3 linked regions of the Arabidopsis thaliana genome follow. The protein of the gene in region 1 interacts with the protein of each later gene in a pairwise test. Each region holds a gene or a part of one and is shown on either strand. Other genes may lie near its edges. The genes, in order: AT4G19380, AT3G21340 and CNGC5.

Evidence for each region.
Region 2: the proteins of AT4G19380 (region 1) and AT3G21340 interact in a protein complementation assay, tested with the Arabidopsis thaliana proteins (one large-scale study listed by BioGRID).
Region 3: the proteins of AT4G19380 (region 1) and CNGC5 interact in a protein complementation assay, tested with the Arabidopsis thaliana proteins (one large-scale study listed by BioGRID).

The regions. Positions count from the first base shown.
Region 1 is NC_003075.7:10,567,750-10,574,285, reverse strand, and holds AT4G19380 (Long-chain fatty alcohol dehydrogenase family protein), read left to right. Parts: upstream 1-1,769; 5' UTR 1,770-1,871; coding exon 1,872-2,126; intron 2,127-3,324; coding exon 3,325-3,594; intron 3,595-4,077; coding exon 4,078-5,859; 3' UTR 5,860-5,963; downstream 5,964-6,536. UniProt on the Arabidopsis thaliana protein: Long-chain fatty alcohol oxidase involved in the omega-oxidation pathway of lipid degradation.
Region 2 is NC_003074.8:7,511,137-7,517,929, reverse strand, and holds AT3G21340 (Leucine-rich repeat protein kinase family protein), read left to right. Parts: upstream 1-1,856; 5' UTR 1,857-1,992; coding exon 1,993-2,086; intron 2,087-2,187; coding exon 2,188-2,725; intron 2,726-3,034; coding exon 3,035-3,513; intron 3,514-3,596; coding exon 3,597-3,741; intron 3,742-3,831; coding exon 3,832-3,903; intron 3,904-4,006; coding exon 4,007-4,078; intron 4,079-4,173; coding exon 4,174-4,245; intron 4,246-4,350; coding exon 4,351-4,535; intron 4,536-4,633; coding exon 4,634-4,884; intron 4,885-4,984; coding exon 4,985-5,111; intron 5,112-5,186; coding exon 5,187-5,252; coding exon of another isoform or gene 5,253-5,263; exon of another isoform or gene 5,264-5,337; coding exon 5,338-5,527; intron 5,528-5,673; coding exon 5,674-6,082; 3' UTR 6,083-6,174; downstream 6,175-6,793. Other genes in the region: MED6 (RNA polymerase transcriptional regulation mediator-like protein), read right to left, coding at 36-105, 213-387, 565-824. UniProt on the Arabidopsis thaliana protein: Probable receptor with a dual specificity kinase activity acting on both serine/threonine- and tyrosine-containing substrates.
Region 3 is NC_003076.8:23,454,560-23,461,224, forward strand, and holds CNGC5 (cyclic nucleotide gated channel 5), read left to right. Parts: upstream 1-2,005; 5' UTR 2,006-2,107; exon of another isoform or gene 2,108-2,338; intron 2,339-2,456; 5' UTR 2,457-2,556; coding exon 2,557-2,585; intron 2,586-2,764; coding exon 2,765-3,347; intron 3,348-3,508; coding exon 3,509-3,721; intron 3,722-4,112; coding exon 4,113-4,423; intron 4,424-4,563; coding exon 4,564-4,675; intron 4,676-4,813; coding exon 4,814-5,050; intron 5,051-5,211; coding exon 5,212-5,880; 3' UTR 5,881-6,062; downstream 6,063-6,665. Other genes in the region: APO2 (APO RNA-binding protein (DUF794)), read left to right, coding at 131-158, 261-379, 526-878, 964-1,795; AT5G57950 (26S proteasome regulatory subunit), read left to right, coding at 6,119-6,346, 6,432-6,492. UniProt on the Arabidopsis thaliana protein: Probable cyclic nucleotide-gated ion channel.

The sequences.
Region 1 (6,536 bases):
CCACCGGCGACACCACATTAAATTTGTAAGCATCTTTAATAAACACTCATAAGAATTGAAGTGGTTATTATATAATACTAATACTATTGAAAAAGAAAACTTAATAATACATTTCTGATTAGATATGAAATTATGAATATCAGAATTCAAAGTTTTCGACAACCATCGCACTCATGGGGTATATCTTTCCCCAAACTACATATATATAAGAAGTCTGAACCGATCAAGATGAGTATAACTAGTAATCATTCCCAAACAAACTCAAAGAATTTCAATCTATACGCAATAAATATACACACTTCTGAAAAAAATAACAACATTAAGCACGTTCAAAAAATAGGAGATCATAAATTTTTATTAAATTACATCTACCACATTATCAACTTGCATTGGACAATCGATGATATCAATGCACCTATAATTTACATAAAAAAGGGGGAAGATAAAACTCAAAATCTGGAGGAGAATCTCAGAAACTTAATGAATGATAATTATGGAGGACAGGTATTGTTAACTGTACTGTCTTCTACATTCAATTCGCTTTTCTTTTTTTTTCTCTCTCAAAGGGTCCAGTTTGATACCCTGATCACTCACTCGTTGGGTCCTTTCATGACCTCTCTGTACTTTATTTGATTCTATCATATTAATGAACATTGTCATTTTTTCTTACATTATTACCTGATTTGTGTTCTACTAATCATTCGAAGTTATGATAAAATCATTCCTTTATATTTTGAGTTCCCATATCTGTAGACATCCACACATGTCTGAATCAGCCTCTCTTTCAACGAAGTTCGAAATTTTGCAACTTATTCAATAGTTATTTAAAAATTTAGTATGAAAATCAGCTTTTATCATAAAAATATTAGAACAAAAATGCGTAAATTACTTTAGTAACAAAACTAGAACGGTATTTTACTTAAAATGAGTTGAATCTCTAAACCATAATATTAATGAATAGATCATTTAAACTTGAATACTATAAAAACAACGTTTTGGTTCATAAATCGCTAGTCTATTATAGATAGACGAAGTAATAACTAATATCAAATATATAAATAAATTTAACTTGCGTTATCTAATTTAACAGATTTGTTGCAAAGACCAAAAGTTTATATACCCCTTTGATATTTCAACCAATGTACATTACTTGGTAATTCCGTATGATTGCTCAAATGTTTTCCCAAACCATATATGTAACTTATTGATATAAATCATGTCACGATCACTTCGTCATCACTTGCAACACAAATCTTTACGTAGTTGGAACTAAAATTACGAATAAAGTGGGTGTGTGTAAAGAATTTAATACTTTTATAAAAAAATTCTGAAAAAGTCAAAGTAAATTATATTCACACATATGTATGATATATCTATATGAATTATAGGAAATAAATTTTCTGAAATATTAGGCTCCACCTAATAGGCTAATACCCATTGTTATAGACTACCCCTAAACTGTCGATTACCCATCCTCTGATATTTTTGTTTTATTGGATTTAGGATACATACGAATATATACGAATTCGTAAACAAATATTTGTAAGAGTTAATATATATTTCATATCTATATCTGATTCAGAATATGCAATTTAAAACTTACATTTCAGAAAGTTTGACTTAAGTAAACAAATTTGTCTAGCGTTTTTTAAGAATGGTGTCCATGTTTTCTATAAAAAAAAGATCACAAGCTTATAATGAAATTTCGAAAACCTAATTCGGATCAGTGTACTTGCTAGTATCAAACTTTTCCTTGCTGGTACCAAACAGATAGATATATATATATATTATATTTGTATTTAATCCTTTGGTCTCTATATAAATACAACACGTCATAAACTTTACTAGCCACAACTTAAAGTATTGAATACATGGAGAATCACAGCTGCCTTCAGAAAGATACGACGTCGGCGGCCAAATTAGACGTCGAAACTGGAAACCTCCGGCAGAGAGATGAAACGAAGCCGTTTTATGCAAACTCACTGACGCCACGTGAGATGGAATCTCTTGTTGCGATCTGCGATACCTTCATATCCTCCATCGACGACTCTGGAGTAGGACACGTGGATGATTGCGTCGCTGGATATTTCTCCGCCTCCGCTTCTCAGACCGGAACTCCCGACCGCGTAAGTGTTATATATACAAACATGCATTCACATATAAAAGAGATTTACATACATGCATGCACATATAACATATATAAGTAGATATGCTTCCCGATTTTTATATGTTACATGCTTTATCAAAACAAAACCTATTTGTTATATACATGCATTTTTTATTATTTCTAGCTAACCCTTTTTACAAACAAAAGAGAATAGAGCATAATTTAAATCGTTTAGGATGATTTAAATTATTAATTTGGATCCATATGCATACGTTTGCTGAGATATTATTACAGTTGATTTTTTCTTTATTTTTACAAGAAATAAAATAAGAATGATTTATGGACATAATTTTAAAATCACGGTTTTTTATTTGTAATCTTTCTTGATTCAGATCGTTTTAGAAAAGAAATTAGTAAACGTAAAACATTTCTTTCTTACTCAAAGGTGATTCATATCCGACTTATACAACGTTTAAACAACAGTTTTTACGGGTTAAACTGTCTATAACTTATTTAGCAAAAAGATATTTACATATGCATTTAAAAATCTGCATTGCATGCATGTGAATCAGTACTTTCCATATCTAAAAAGAGAAACGGTACTATAGATGACAACAAAAAACCAGTACTTTCAGTGAAATATAGAGCCGACAGATTTCAAGTACACCTACATTCCATCGTCACGCATGCCATTGATGCCATCTCAAGTTAATTGCTAAAAATAAATTTGTTAATTCCTTCTCTTTTGGCTACTATTTATTCGTTCCATATAACTATTATTATAAATTTGGTATTAATATATCACTCCGACGACCGATTCAATTGTTCTTTTTTTCTTGTCATAACTCATTGGCAAAAAGAAGGTAAAAATAGATTGAACCTTACATATCGTGTTCACTACATCGTGTATGTGTAAATTAGTTGATATGCACTATTAAAATTTTCAAAGAACGATTAGATATTAGTCAATTATAGGAATAACGAAGAAGCGACTGCTTAACCATAATCGTGGTTTGGCCGCATATGGTCTGGTTGGAAATCCAAATATAATTGACTCATGAACCAAAAACCGTTATGCTAGATATACCAGCTATGAAAATTTGTATAGGTTAAAGTTAAATAGAACGAACATTTTTTTTTTGAATACAAATTTCATTACATTTACTTAACCGTTAACCCTGACCGTTTGTTATTGTATCATAAATTCGTAATAACAGGTGGCGAGGTTAATGAGTGAGAGACTTCACCACCCAAAGAAGTGGATACTAAGAGCTGGATTGTGGTTACTCTCTACTTGGATCGGAAGTCTAGTCTTGTGTGGTTGGAGAAGTTTCACCGGCGAGTTTCCTTACTTCCGGAGATTCTGCCGGCTTCCGGAGAAACGGAGAGAAGAGATATTGCTGAATTGGTCTTCAAGCTATTTCTCACTTCTTAGAATGTTATTTAGGACCATCAAACTTATAAGTGCCCTTGTCTTCTTCACTCAGGTAAACTAAACTCGAAATCTTTGTCACTTATTTCAATTTCTTATCACTTTTGATAGATGTGTACTCATTATGTTTCTTTTAAGCTTTATGTTTTATGATTTTCACACATTTGTTTGCAATATAAGTTAAACCTTAGTCTACTAATTAAACTTATCAATTTATTTAAGATTTACATTTTAGTCACTTTAACTGGTATGAGTAAATTATAAAATAAAGGACATGAGTGAGTTGGTAATGACTTGGATATATTTACTGATTCTTGAAATTTGAGTCCAAATGAAAAATATATTCTTAGACCATATATGGTAATGGGGTCTATATGGCCCAATGATTTACTTGTGGTGGACCTGTTGAAAGTTCCTCTTCAACGAAACTCGTTACCCAATGAATCCCGGAGGGAACATGAAACTTGTCAACTTGATATACCATATAACTAACTACTAATTTTTTTTTAATTATTCCTATTGATTTTTAAAAATTCAGGTTGATGAAAAAGGAAGGAACTTGGCGTGGAAAGCAATAGGTTACAATGGACCCAGCCCTGATCATAGTGATCATGAAGTAGAACTAAACGAGGAGAAGAAGAAGAAGAAACCTGAGGAGATCTTTGGACCACTTTACAATGGCATCGTTGATCTAAAAAGCCCTAGAGAAGCCGTGGAAAAGAAGCTAGCCGGTCGTGGGTTCGCAGTTTCAAATCAAAAGAGGAATACAAACGGATCATCTATCTCTGACCCGGTGATGAAAATCCAGTGTGATGCTGTGGTGGTTGGGTCTGGATCCGGTGGAGGAGTGGCGGCAGGAGTGTTAGCCAAGGCTGGTTACAAAGTGTTGGTGATTGAGTCAGGGAATTACTATGCAAGAAGCAAACTTTCTTTACTTGAAGGGCAAGCTATGGATGACATGTATTTATCCGGTGGGTTATTAGCGACGTCCGATACGAACGTAGTGATTCTTGCGGGATCCACAGTCGGAGGTGGTTCTACAATCAATTGGTCCGCCTCGATCAAGACACCAGAACATGTGATGAAGGAATGGGCAGAAAAGTCAAAACTCGAAATGTTCGGAAGTGATTTGTATCGAGAGGCAATGGATGTTGTCTGTAAGAGGATGGGTGTTCAATGCGGATTTGTAGAAGAAGGGTTTAATAATGAGGTATTGAGAAAAGGTTGTGAAAAGTTAGGGTTACCAGTGAAGAATATTCCGAGGAATGCTCCATCCGATCATTACTGTGGGTTTTGTTGCTTGGGTTGCAAGAAAGGTCAAAAGCAGGGGACTTCAGAGACTTGGCTTGTAGATTTGGTGGAATCTGATAATGGTTTAATCCTTCCAGGTTGTCAAGCGACGGAAGTCATGTACGACTGTGAACAGGGGAAGAAGAAGAAGGCAACTGGAGTTGCGTTTGCGTTTGGGGAAGAGATTTATGTGGTGGAGTCTAGAGTGACAATAGTGGCTTGCGGTGCGCTTAGAACGCCGCATCTGTTGAAACGTAGCGGTTTGAAGAATAGTAACATTGGGAGAAACCTTTGTCTACATCCGGTTGTTATGGCTTGGGGATGGTTTCCAGAGGAAGATAAGTGGCCGGAAAAGAAGAAAAAGAGCTACGAGGGGGGAATAATGACTGCGATGTCTAGCGTTGTAATTGAAGAAACGCATAGTTCTTATGGTGAAATGGTTATCCAGACACCTGCTCTACATCCAGGAATGTTCTCAGGGATCATTCCCTGGACATCAAGCAAGGATTTCAAAACCCGAATGCTCAAATTTTCAAGAACCGCACACATTTTTGCGCTTCTGAGAGATAAAGGAACCGGAACAATAGATTCCAAGACCTACATTGACTACAACTTAAACGATGAAGACGAAGAGAGTCTAAAGAACGGTCTTGAAAGAGTCTTGAAGATTCTGGCCGCAGCCGGAGCCGAGGAGATTGGGACGCATCATTCAGAAGGTAGGAGTCTGAATGTTAGAACAGCGAGTTCGTTAGAGATTGAGCGGTTTGTGAGAGAAGAGAGTTCAAAGCCGTTGAAGGATTTGTCAGGTCAGATATGTTCAGCTCACCAAATGGGAAGTTGTAGGATGGGAATTAGGCCGGAGGAATCCGCGGTGAGGCCAACAGGAGAGACTTGGGAGGTCGAAAGGTTATTTGTGGCGGACACAAGTGTTTTTCCGACCGCTTTAGGGGTTAATCCGATGGTCACCGTTCAGTCTATTGCTTATTGTATTGGACTTAATGTTGTTGATGTTCTTAAGAAGAAGAAGTGAGGGTTCATCAGTTTGAAATAGATTTTAGTTTTCCACATATTTTTTAAAATGAAATGTTTTTTTTATACAATTGATAAAACTAATATTAAGAAGTTCTTTGTCAAAGTATCAGTTAGCAATAAATTTCCTTTTCTTTTAATTATTCGTAAACTATAACTAGTAAACACTGGTAGGCAGTAGCAGCTTGATAAATAAGAAATAAAGATGAGCAAAATGGATAATATTTCTTAAGCTAGTAGGCAATATATGATATGAAATAAAAAATCATATTAAAATTTCAGATTTTAATTCTAAAACAAAACAAACAAAAAATTATGTATACAAAAAGTTTCAAGCCTTTAACTTGGGAAGGCTTAATCTATACTCAACTTCTATAGTCCATGCCATTATCATGCTTTTGTTCTTTTTATTAAGGCCACTTTGTATGTAAGTCAAACAATCTACGTTTGACCTCGTCTTTAGTAAACACAAATCATCTATTTCCTTTTAATCGTTTTGGAAAAAAATTTTATTTTAATGTATGATAATATTCTCCTCTCTTTTATTTCCATATTATTTAGTTGACAAAGAAGATTTCTATGAGAAGTTACCTCACATAGTCACATATCCAAAATTTTAAGTTTGTGTTGTGTACTTGTATCAAAAGTATACGCCATCATCTATTTTCTTTAAAATGG
Region 2 (6,793 bases), on another chromosome or scaffold:
AGCCATCGATCTTTTGGAAGAGAACGAAACCTTACCTTGTCTAATGGTCTCCAATTTCGATGCAGCATCAGTGAAAGCCTTGGATATATTATAAATAGTCCGACTCTGATTCAAACATACAAAATGAGAAAGAGAAGAAAACAAAACGTTTCAGAAACTAAAACAGACAACTATCATCAGCAACACACAAATCAAAAGAGGAAGAAACTTACAACTCGAGCTGCGAAGACACTACAAAGCTGAGGAGCTTGGTAAATAGAACCATCCAAGATATAATATGTTAGCATCGGTGTGACTTTCTCAGGACCATCTCTCTTTTGCTTACGAAAGACGAACAGGTTTGGTTCAGTAGCATCAGTTAACATATATTCTAGACCTGTCATCTTCCTACATAATATAATCACAATGGTTTCAATCAAACATTGTCACTAAATTCTCCACCTAAATCTATCTCCATTTCTCTAACAGTATCCCAGGTGAGACCAAACCCTAATTCGACCTAAAGTTGAAACCTTTATGAGTTTCAACATAACCCTATCTGTAGAGCAGTGAGGAGGAGCTTACGAGAGGTGAGAGAGATCGAGAGGGTGAATGGATCTTCTCCGAAGAATCTCATTGTTGCAAGTTGTATCGTAGAAAGGAGACAAAGCGAAGTAATCGAAGATGTAGTTACGATCAAGAGGGTATGAATTGATCCAGAGCTGATCCCTGAAGGAAATTCCAGTCATATCCGTTCCCGGAGGCTGTAACGGAGGAGGAATTTGATCCGCCGCATTGCCGTTGAAGGTATCGGCCGTAGCCGCCGAGAGCAGAGAGGAATCCATGGAAGTGAGTCACTTCGCCGTGAAGGAGAAGAGCACAGAGAAAGAAAGAGAGCGAGAGAGAGAATAATATGGTTCGGCCCATTATGTAATTTGGGCTTTCGAATTTCATTGGCCCAAAATTGAAGGAATTAGACAAATGTGTTATCAACTGATTCTGACAACATTTTTTTTTTTGTTACAAACTTATAATAACTATAGAACCTTTTTTTTTAATAACTAGTAATTGAACTTTGTCCGATGATAACTTAATTAATAAGAAGAAAACATAACAAAGGCAGATAAATCTTTTTTATAGAAATGAAATAAAAACACAGGGTTTTGTCCAAAAAACCACAAGGGTCAAAAGTCAACGACCATTTAAATCATAAGAAGGTTTTGTTGTGTGTTCCATGCACGTATCCTCCCTGGACCAGCTTCCAGCTAGCGAAGCCAATTGCTACGTTTACTTCTTTTTTTTATCAAAGTTTGTTGTGATTGTTGGGCCTTTGGAACCATTTTGATCCTCACAATCTTTGCTTCTTTTTAAACAATGTAAAATTAGTCTTCCACGTTGTAGCTTACCTATTTGGCTATTCATTTGCCATTGAATTGGATTTTTTTTTTTTTTGTTTCTTACCATGGAATATGGATGGCAGTTTCTGGAAATTGGAATTCAAATTAAAACTAAAGTGTGTCGAACCAAACCAAACCAAGATATTGTTCAATATGGATTCTATGTATATAAACTAAAAGAAAAGAAAAAAAAATCAAAAACCTAACAAACGCGCCTAACCAAAACTGAATTGAATACAAAAAGCAAAAACCAAGTTATATTATTTACTTCAATTTGATTTATTTAGTCGAAAATAAGATATATTAGTGCATTATGCATACGTACGAATACAACGTTAAAAAACAGGACATTGACATCAACTAAACGGCATTGGAAGATTATTGGATCGTTAATTTTTAAATCTTTATAGAATGTTAATCAAATCAAACATATTAGTTTAGTTTTATTTAGGTTCGAGACAACCGACTCTTGTATACATATTTTTTTTCATAAGTTGACCTACAAAAATAACGTCGTGCTTATTAGTTTTCAATAATTTCCATTATTGCCTAGATATCTCAAACCTCTGCTTTTTCTTTTTGTAAATGTCTCTCTCTTTTGTTTCATAGAAGAATAATGGAGTACCATCCTCAAGCAATTAGGTTATGTGCGTTGATCTTCATCTCTTTCTATGCTCTTTTACACCTCGTTGAAGCACAAGACCAAAAAGGTATATACATATACACATTTCTTTGTTGTTTTTGATAATGTTTCGTCGAAATTATGTTCTTACTTAGTTTTCTGATACATTTTGTTCGCTTGTGTTACTAGGATTCATTAGTTTGGATTGCGGGTCATTGCCAAATGAGCCTCCTTACAACGATCCTTCAACCGGATTAACATACTCGACGGACGATGGTTTCGTGCAGAGTGGCAAAACTGGAAGAATCCAGAAAGCGTTCGAGTCGATCTTCAGTAAACCGTCTTTGAAGCTTAGATACTTCCCGGACGGATTCCGAAACTGCTATACCTTGAATGTCACGCAAGACACAAACTATCTGATCAAAGCTGTATTTGTGTATGGTAACTACGATGGTCTTAACAATCCCCCGAGTTTCGATCTTTACCTTGGTCCGAATCTATGGGTAACGGTTGATATGAATGGACGGACCAATGGTACTATCCAGGAGATTATCCACAAGACCATATCTAAGTCTCTCCAGGTCTGTCTTGTTAAGACAGGAACAAGCTCACCTATGATTAATACGTTAGAGCTACGACCACTTAAAAACAATACTTACAATACTCAGAGTGGCTCTCTGAAGTATTTCTTCCGATATTATTTCAGCGGTTCAGGCCAAAACATACGGTATGAATCACGCCCTTTCACTTAATCATGAACAAAATTTGGTTTCTGGTTCTGTTTGATCCGTTTAGGATAAACTTTTTAACGAAGATTATTTGTTTTAAACCTTTAATAAATTTAGTGTATATATTGAAGTTTAAAGATTATAATTACTTATTAGGTTTTTGGTTGCACAAAACTCGGATTGGGTTCATTTGGTATAGACATTTTTCTAGCATCTTGGTTTATTAATATGGATTTTGATTTGTTTCAGTAAGTTTGTTTTTAAGTAAAATGTTAGTCTTTAATACATGACAAAAATATTTTTGATAGGTACCCTGATGATGTCAATGATCGTAAATGGTATCCATTCTTTGATGCAAAAGAGTGGACAGAGTTAACAACCAATCTGAATATAAACAGTTCTAATGGTTATGCACCACCAGAAGTTGTGATGGCGTCAGCCTCAACGCCTATAAGTACTTTTGGAACATGGAACTTCTCATGGTTATTGCCATCTTCCACAACCCAATTTTATGTGTACATGCATTTTGCCGAGATTCAAACTCTACGGTCCCTCGATACCCGAGAATTCAAAGTGACGTTGAATGGAAAACTTGCTTATGAACGCTACAGCCCTAAAACGTTAGCCACCGAAACCATTTTCTATTCGACACCACAACAATGTGAAGATGGGACATGCCTCTTGGAGTTGACGAAAACACCTAAGTCTACTCTTCCTCCTCTCATGAACGCTCTTGAGGTTTTCACCGTGATCGATTTTCCACAGATGGAAACAAATCCAGATGATGGTAAGTCTATATGTTTCAATCAATTTCCTCTATAAATATAATTTCATGGGTTGTTTTTTGATGCAACAATAACTTTATTCTAGTTGCTGCTATCAAGAGTATCCAAAGCACTTATGGATTAAGTAAAATCAGCTGGCAAGGAGATCCATGCGTTCCTAAACAGTTTTTGTGGGAGGGTTTAAACTGCAATAATCTAGATAACTCCACGCCGCCTATTGTCACTTCCTTGTAAGATCAATCTTAAATTATTGTATTAGTTATGTCACATGATTTTATCATCTGTAAATGAAATGTGTGCATGCATAAATATGTCTTTAGAAACTTATCGTCAAGTCATTTAACGGGGATCATCGCGCAAGGCATTCAGAATCTGACACACCTACAAGAACTGTAAGTATTTCGTATTTCAAAACTGAGCATAATGAAAACTATTTGTTCACCTTAATTGTATCTTGTTTATAACATATTTTTGTACTTACAAATGCTTATGTAGAGACTTGTCAAATAACAATTTGACGGGAGGAATACCCGAATTTCTTGCTGACATAAAATCACTCTTAGTAATGTGAGTCGTTTTAAACAAGACAATTTTTTATAATCTATTAGCCTCTTCGCACTACAAGATTGCCTATGTTTCTAACATTGTGTCTATCTTAACAGAAATTTAAGTGGGAACAATTTTAATGGCTCTATTCCTCAAATCCTTTTACAGAAGAAAGGACTAAAGCTAATGTAAGCTTTTCTCATATAATATTTTCATGACTATATAAAATTTGTGCTCAAGTCTCCTAAATGACTGGTAAATTTCTTTTTTTCCTCAACATTGGTAACTCATAGTCTTGAAGGAAACGCCAATCTGATTTGTCCGGATGGATTATGTGTAAACAAAGCTGGCAATGGTGGTGCCAAGAAAATGAATGTTGTAATACCGATTGTTGCATCAGTTGCGTTTGTGGTTGTTCTTGGATCTGCATTGGCGTTCTTTTTTATTTTCAAAAAGAAAAAGACATCAAACAGTCAAGGTATACACAAAAAGAACCTTTAAATTGCCTTGAATACTGCAATACATATGTTCACTATGTATAAAAAGTCTCATTATACTGTTGCATTGTAACATTAGATTTAGGTCCATCTTCATATACTCAAGTATCAGAAGTTAGAACAATCAGATCTTCAGAGTCGGCAATAATGACTAAGAACAGAAGATTTACATATTCGGAGGTTGTAACAATGACAAATAACTTTGAAAGAGTTCTTGGTAAAGGAGGATTTGGAATGGTTTATCATGGAACTGTAAATAATACTGAACAAGTAGCCGTTAAAATGCTTTCACACTCATCTTCTCAAGGATATAAAGAATTCAAAGCAGAGGTAAGTTTTAGCAAGGTTATTAAGAAACGTTTGTAGAAACACTATCGTTTTATTAGAGTAACATGTCAAATTTTGATGTATTGCTCTTCCACTCCTCTAGGTGGAACTTCTTCTCAGAGTTCACCACAAAAATTTGGTTGGCCTCGTTGGATATTGTGATGAAGGAGAAAACTTGGCTCTTATCTACGAGTACATGGCTAACGGAGACTTGAGAGAACATATGTCAGGTAAGTATTTATAGTTGCTACAAATACATATTTGTTGTGGTGTTTTCACATATTTATATGTTGATTCAAATGTAGGAAAGCGAGGTGGATCTATTCTAAATTGGGAAACTAGACTAAAAATAGTTGTCGAGTCTGCCCAAGGTTTGATATGAGTTTTAATATAATTTTTGCTTGTATCCTCTATTCATTTGCTTAACCCTTGATGAAAATGAAATTTGTTGCATAGGTTTGGAATACTTGCATAATGGATGCAAACCACCAATGGTTCATAGGGATGTTAAAACCACAAATATATTGTTGAATGAACACCTCCATGCTAAGCTAGCTGATTTTGGGCTTTCGAGATCTTTTCCAATTGAAGGAGAAACTCATGTGTCAACAGTTGTTGCTGGAACTCCTGGATACCTTGATCCAGAGTAAGTTTCATAATTGTTGGGCAATGATTTTCTTTTAAATTTTATTTTAAGGGTAATTGCTAGTTTTCATCTATCATGAGTATCATCACTTGATAGGATATCATATATATTTTTTATTTTTAATAGGATAAATATTGATTTTGCAGATATTACCGAACAAATTGGTTGAACGAGAAAAGTGATGTTTATAGCTTTGGAATTGTACTATTAGAGATCATCACAAACCAACTTGTGATCAATCAAAGTCGTGAAAAACCACATATAGCAGAATGGGTGGGGTTAATGCTTACAAAAGGAGACATTCAAAACATTATGGATCCAAAACTTTATGGTGATTATGACTCTGGTTCTGTCTGGAGAGCAGTTGAACTAGCAATGTCATGTCTAAATCCTTCTTCAGCTAGAAGACCAACAATGTCTCAAGTTGTTATCGAATTAAACGAATGTTTGTCATATGAAAACGCAAGAGGAGGAACGAGTCAAAACATGAACTCAGAGAGTTCAATAGAAGTCAGCATGAACTTTGATATTGGAGCTACCCCTGATGCTCGTTAGACTGCAAGAGTCATTTTATCTTTGTTTTCTTGAGTGGATTTTTGTTATTTTCAAAGGAAAATTTTAAAAGTTTTGTAATGAATTTATGTCATTAATGAATGTGATTTATTGGAATCAAGATTAGCAGCATAGACTCGATCTACGGTTAAAAAAAGAGGATAAAGTCCAATCATAACTCTCTTTAATTTATTTTGCAGAATGAAAACGTAGTAGAAATGGATGTAATCTTAGTGGAATAAACAAAGCAAATGATGAGACATGTTTATACGTTTCTTGTGATCAAAGTTTCGAAGCTCTAGATATATAGCAATAGGCCCGGGATGACTCAAATATGATCGAGGGGAAGAAGCGCGCACCTGCCAATTGCTCGCTACGACCATCTTCTATCTCAGTTCACGTCATTGTTTGATATAAAAGTGACTTGTTCTGTACGTTAAATCATATTTGACTCATCCTGGGCCTATTGCTCTGTATGGTTTTTCTAACTGACTCAGTTATTTATTTGTAATATGATAGTTCCAAAATAAGACATTACAAATGATTTATACACGTACATTTTATACAACAACTTCCATTTTTAGTTTATTTTAACTATATATCATATTTGTCCACCAAAATTTACGATGTAGTCAAAGTTGATATCTAGTAGCATTCTAATTTAGTGCATAATAAATTTAACGTAAAGATTATCAGTGTATTGTTGTATGTGGA
Region 3 (6,665 bases), on another chromosome or scaffold:
ATTATTTGAACTTATTAGCTTTAAGCTTGTCCACGATTTACATTAGCTATCTTCTTCGTCTCCGGGACTGAGACCGCTCTCTCTTCCTTATCCTCCATCTTCCAATGGTTTAATCCAGCAACTGTCGACGATGTCGATAACGTACTCCGCTATTTCCTGTAAGTTTCTTCCTCACTGTGTGTCGAATCCGTCCTCAATGCTCAATTTTATCCATTTATTGTGAGACTGTGATTGATTTTGGTTTCCGTTGTTTTATCCAGCTAGTACAGTTTCTGGGTTTTCACCAAAAAGTGTACCTTTTGCTATTCATAGCGTAACCAGGAGGCAATTTCTTAATCCCAACACGTTTTATAGATTTGGGTTCTCTCCTTCTCTTCAGGTCAGATTCCTTTACTAGTCAGTATCATCCAATTCTCCAGACTCTGCTTCGTTGTTGTTTTGGTTCTTAGAATTAGACCACACTTCGTTGCTTCCCTTTGAAGTAGAGAGTCAATGTTTACTGTTATGTGCGGATATGTTGTGCAGGGAAGTAGCATTGAGTTTAGCCTTCAGTTGAATTCAAGAGTTGTGCTTAGTAAAGAGCGTCGATCTCTGCCATTAGTTGTGAGAAATGATCGTCCTCAGAATGAAGACTTACCTAAGCAGTACACAAGGCGAGAGAAGAAACCTTTCCCAGTCCCTATTGTGGACCTGAGACGAGCTGCGAGGGAGAGAGTCAAGAACAACAAAGACAAACCTAAGAGACCTCTACCTCCGCCTAAAAATGGTATGGTTGTGAAGAGCCTTGTGCCTCTTGCTTATAAAGTATACAATGCAAGAATCAGATTGATCAACAATCTCCACCGGCTTATGAAAGTTGTTCGTGTTAATGCTTGTGGGTAAAAATTCTCTTCTTCTTCTTGTTTCATTTTTGGTCTGTTTTGAGTATGGCCTTTTTTTGATGTTGTATGATTGGTCTCTTAGGTGGTGCAATGAGATTCATGTTGGACCTTATGGGCATCCATTTAAGTCGTGTAAAGGTCCCAATACTTCCCAAAGGAAAGGTCTTCATGAATGGACTAACTCGGTTATTGAGGACGTTATTGTTCCTCTTGAAGCCTATCACCTTTTTGACCGCCTTGGCAAGCGTATCCGTCATGATGAAAGATTCTCGATTCCCCGAGTTCCTGCTGTAGTTGAGCTCTGCATTCAGGGCGGCGTTGAAATACCCGAATTTCCAGCAAAAAGGAGAAGAAAACCGATTATCCGCATTGGCAAAAGCGAGTTTGTTGATGCAGATGAAACTGAATTGCCTGATCCAGAGCCTCAGCCTCCTCCAGTGCCATTGTTAACTGAGTTACCTGTCTCAGAGATCACTCCCCCATCTAGCGAAGAAGAAACAGTCTCCTTAGCCGAAGAAACATTACAGGCCTGGGAAGAAATGAGAGCAGGAGCCAAAAAGCTGATGAGGATGTACAGGGTTAGGGTCTGTGGGTACTGTCCAGAGGTTCACGTAGGTCCAACGGGACACAAGGCCCAGAACTGTGGTGCATTCAAGCACCAACAGCGGAATGGCCAGCATGGTTGGCAATCTGCAGTACTTGACGACTTGATACCGCCAAGATATGTTTGGCATGTTCCTGATGTGAATGGGCCACCGATGCAGCGAGAGCTACGAAGCTTCTACGGGCAAGCACCTGCTGTTGTGGAGATATGTGCTCAGGCTGGCGCTGTTGTACCTGAGCATTATAGAGCTACAATGAGACTGGAGGTTGGAATTCCTTCGAGTGTGAAAGAAGCTGAGATGGTTGTTTGATATGTAGAAGACCTTGTAAACTTCTTCTTGTACAAAATCCTCCATTCCACCTTGTGTTGTATAATAATATCACAGCCCAGGTCTTTTTGACTTTTGAAGGACAAAAAAAACAATCCACGCTAATCCTATTATCAAGGGTAAAAATGTCATTTGCTTCGTTTTCATCTTTTCTCGTTGCCATTTTCTTTTTTTTGTCTGTGTCAAGTCGATACCACTTGTCTGGTAGCTTTATACCCACTTTCATCTTTTTCATGTTCGTAGTTGTTCCTCTGGTTATCCTCATCAACGGGACCCTTGAAACCGTGTAGCCATGTAAGCCTTTGTCTTTGTCTCTTTCTCTTGCTTCAGCAAGTTCACGTCTGCTCTATTTCTAATTTTGTTCTAAGATTCAATTCTCCTTTTTTCTATGCGAGAAATTTAAGATTGGTTCTCTAGCTCTACCTCTTTAAATTTGTTACTATGTGTCGGTGTCCATCATTCATCAAATTTTTTCCTTTTTTATCCATTTGAGTTGATGTAATGATGTTGCTTCGCTTCATACTGGTCAGAGTTAGTCTAATCTTCATTTTAGCACAACTTGACAACTTCATATGGTTATGACTTATTTTTACTTGGGTCTTTCAAAGGTTAAGTATTTTAGTCTTATTTTGGGATGATGCAGCTTGCTTAATGATTAGAGTCTTAAAGCTGTGCTCTTTCTTCATCGATTTGAGCAAGTGATCTTGGAAGGCTCTTGAGTTCTGAATTCCTTGTAAGCAATCATGGCAGGGAAAAGAGAAAACTTTGTGAGGTTAGTGCTGCATCCTTTTGTTTTAATACAAAGATCTGAAGTTTGAATGTGAGAAACGTATTGATTTGGCAATGGTTGTTTCTGATTTGTTTCCTTATGAAAGTATAGTGTGATTGTACTGAACTATAGCTTGTTGGTGCATAGTAATCTGAAAGTGGTGTTGTTCATACCTTTTATAGGGTGGATGATTTGGACTCTAGGTTACCATCATCATCTGTAGCCTTCCAACAGAACTACGCCTCCAATTTCAGTGGACAACTTCATCCTATTCATGCAAGCAATGAAACTTCTAGATCCTTCAAGAAAGGTATCCAGAAGGGTTCCAAAGGGCTTAAGTCGATCGGACGTTCACTTGGTTTCGGTGTTTATCGAGCAGTGTTCCCAGAAGACCTTAAAGTATCTGAAAAGAAGATATTTGATCCTCAGGATAAATTCCTTTTGTATTGCAATAAATTATTCGTTGCGTCATGTATTCTTTCAGTGTTTGTGGACCCTTTTTTCTTCTATCTTCCTGTGATTAATGCTGAGTCCAAGTGCCTGGGTATTGACAGAAAACTGGCTATCACAGCAAGTACATTGCGGACTTTTATCGATGTGTTTTATCTCGCTCACATGGCTCTCCAGCTTAGGACTGCTTATATTGCACCTTCATCACGGGTCTTTGGGCGAGGTGAACTCGTGATTGATCCTGCACAGATAGCAAAGAGATATCTACAACGTTGGTTTATTATTGACTTTCTCTCAGTACTTCCTCTCCCTCAGGTTGGTTAATATAAGTTTTGATCATTTCAGTAAATTGTGTGTTGGAAAACATCATTGCTTAATTTGTTGAAAGGGTGCAGTAGCCAGTAGTTGGTGATCAGACATCTCTGTCAAGCGCTTTCTAGTTCTAGATTTACAGTACTCATTTTGTGTATGTGCAGATTGTAGTTTGGAGGTTCTTGCAAAGTTCAAATGGGTCGGATGTATTGGCTACAAAGCAGGCCTTGCTTTTCATTGTTTTGGTCCAGTATATACCGCGATTCCTACGTGTCTTACCCTTGACGTCAGAATTGAAAAGGACAGCAGGTGTCTTTGCTGAAACGGCTTGGGCTGGTGCCGCTTATTATCTGCTTTTATATATGCTTGCAAGTCATGTGAGTTTATATACCTTTTTCATTTTAAGACGTTGCTTGTACTATTCAATGCTTGCCCATTCACCATGAGTTATGTGACTGTGGCACCAAAAGTGCAAAACAAGGAAATATTTGCATATCCGTTTCACTGTTATGAACTTATGTTCAAATGTTTAGTTTCCTAAGACATGTAAAGGAGCTTATTGAGCTTTCTGGTTAAGCCGTCTATGCTTACCTTTGATGTTCTATGCAACCTTTCGTTTTATCTTAGTTGATGTTCATGCCTCATGGGATCACAAATGTCAAGTTTCTTATGACGAGCAACTCTGATTGTATAGCTTATTTACTCTTCAATAATAGTATTGACTTGGTAAGTGCTATTTTGATTGAGCCACTGTTTCGTATCTTGCAGATAGTTGGAGCTTTTTGGTACCTTTTAGCCTTAGAACGTAACGACGCCTGCTGGCAGGAGGCCTGTATAGATGCAGGGAATTGCAGCACAGATTTCTTGTACTGTGGCAATCAAAACATGGACGGCTATGCTGTTTGGAACAGAGCCAAGGAATCTGTTCTTAAGTCCAAGTGCCGAGCTGACCTCGATGATAATAATCCTCCATTTGACTTTGGGATTTATACACAGGCTTTATCGTCTGGAATTGTCTCGTCCCAAAACTTCATCGTAAAATATTGTTATTGTTTGTGGTGGGGCCTTCAGAACTTGAGGTAACCATGTTCTATCACTATTCAGTCGAAAGACTATTGCTTTGATCTTACCAATTCTCACTAAACTCGGCTCCTTTATCAAAGTTATGCGTCTATGAGTTTCAGATATTCATATAGTACTTCTCATTGTTGCACCACAGTACACTTGGACAAGGGCTTGAAACCAGTACATACCCAATGGAGATTATATTTTCCATATCTCTCGCCATTTCTGGGTTGATCCTCTTTGCTCTTCTCATTGGAAACATGCAGGTGAGTAATTATGGTGCAACCTTAGCTACTTTCGTGATCATTAGAAATTTCTTGTAAGCTCTTTCAATGGAAGCATCATGCATAATTTGTTTCCTCTGCATAATGACTATCTAACAACATTTTGCAATCTTGGGACAGACATATCTCCAATCTCTTACCATCCGGCTTGAAGAAATGAGAGTAAAGAGGCGTGATTCAGAACAATGGATGCATCACAGAATGTTACCACAAGATCTTAGGGAGCGTGTGAGGCGCTATGACCAGTATAAATGGTTGGAGACACGTGGTGTAGATGAAGAGTATCTCGTTCAGAATCTTCCCAAGGATCTCCGGAGAGACATCAAGCGGCATCTCTGTCTGGCTTTAGTGCGAAGGGTAAGTTCTCCCCGCTGTTCCTTATTCAAGCTTCTCACATAGATCACACACCCTTTTGAACATCTAGGACCCATTGAATAACAGTCGGCTCATAACTAAAACGAGCTCTTGACCATCGACAAGCTAGCTTGGTTCATGATACGTTTTTACCATAATATTAGGTTCCATTGTTTAAGAGCATGGACGACAAGCTGCTGGATGCGATCTGTATGCGGCTGAAACCATGCTTGTTCACAGAGAGTACCTACTTAGTGCGGGAAGGAGATCCTGTAGACGAGATGCTATTCATAATACGTGGTCGCCTCGAGAGTGTGACAACAGATGGAGGCAGGAGCGGTTTCTTCAACCGCAGTCTCCTGAAAGAAGGAGAATTCTGCGGGGAAGAGCTTCTGACATGGGCATTGGATCCAAAATCAGGTGTAAATCTCCCGTCTTCCACGAGGACCGTGAAAGCTCTGACAGAAGTAGAGGCGTTTGCGCTGACCTCAGAGGAGCTGAAGTTTGTAGCAAGCCAGTTCCGGCGCTTACATAGCAGGCAAGTGCAGCACACATTCAGGTTTTACTCTCACCAATGGAGGACTTGGGCTGCTTGTTTCATCCAGGCTGCCTGGCGTAGATACTGCAAGAGGAAGAAAATGGAAGAGGCAGAAGCCGAGGCCGCGGCTGTGTCCAGCTCAACCGCTGGACCTTCATACTCCATTGGGGCTGCATTTCTTGCCACTAAGTTTGCGGCTAATGCGCTTCGCACCATTCACAGGAACCGGAACACAAAGATTAGGGATTTGGTGAAGCTGCAGAAGCCTCCTGAGCCTGATTTCACTGCTGACTGATGATTGAGCAGCTTGTAGACATTATTGTTTATAATTTATGGGAATCATTACGGTTGAGATAAACAAATATTGCTTGGCTTTAAAGCTGCTTGTGCTGTCTGTAAAATTAATATATGAAGTGTAGAAACAAAGAGATTATAGCCGTTGGATTTAATAAATGTACGGTTAGGATCATATGCCGGTTAAAGAATGGGTCTATTGGGCCTTTTAATGAAGCCCACAATATATTCACGGTGACATGCTCCGGTCCCAAGGTAGAGAGAAGTTGCGATTGATTTCGGTGAAAGAATTAAGAATCGATCGGACTTGGAGAAGAGAAGAGAAGATGGTTGGCGCGAATCTGAAAGCGGAGACGATGGCTCTAATGGACAAGAGAACAGCCATGGAGACGGAGATGAACTCTATTGTCGAACGTCTCTGCAATCCCGGTGGTCCTGGTCTCTCCGGCAATCTCATCGACTCGGAGGTACTGTATCTGCGTCCTCACTCTTCTCTAATCTTAACCGAAAATTCTGCTTAATTTTCTCCTTTGATTCGTTTGCTTATGGCAGGGATTTCCTCGGGAAGATATTGACATTCCCATGGTGAGAACTGAGCGCCGTCGTCTTGCTGGTGATTTCTCTTTTCTTGTGCTGAATTAGTCCATAGTTAGGGTGAGACTACAACTCCAAGGTTAGTTTAAACTTAGGAAACATAGCAGAATCATACTGATTATATGTAGTTTAGGTTTTTGTCTTGGCTAGTTGGCTTGAGGTTTATTCATAGTTTTGTGAGCTGGAAATGAG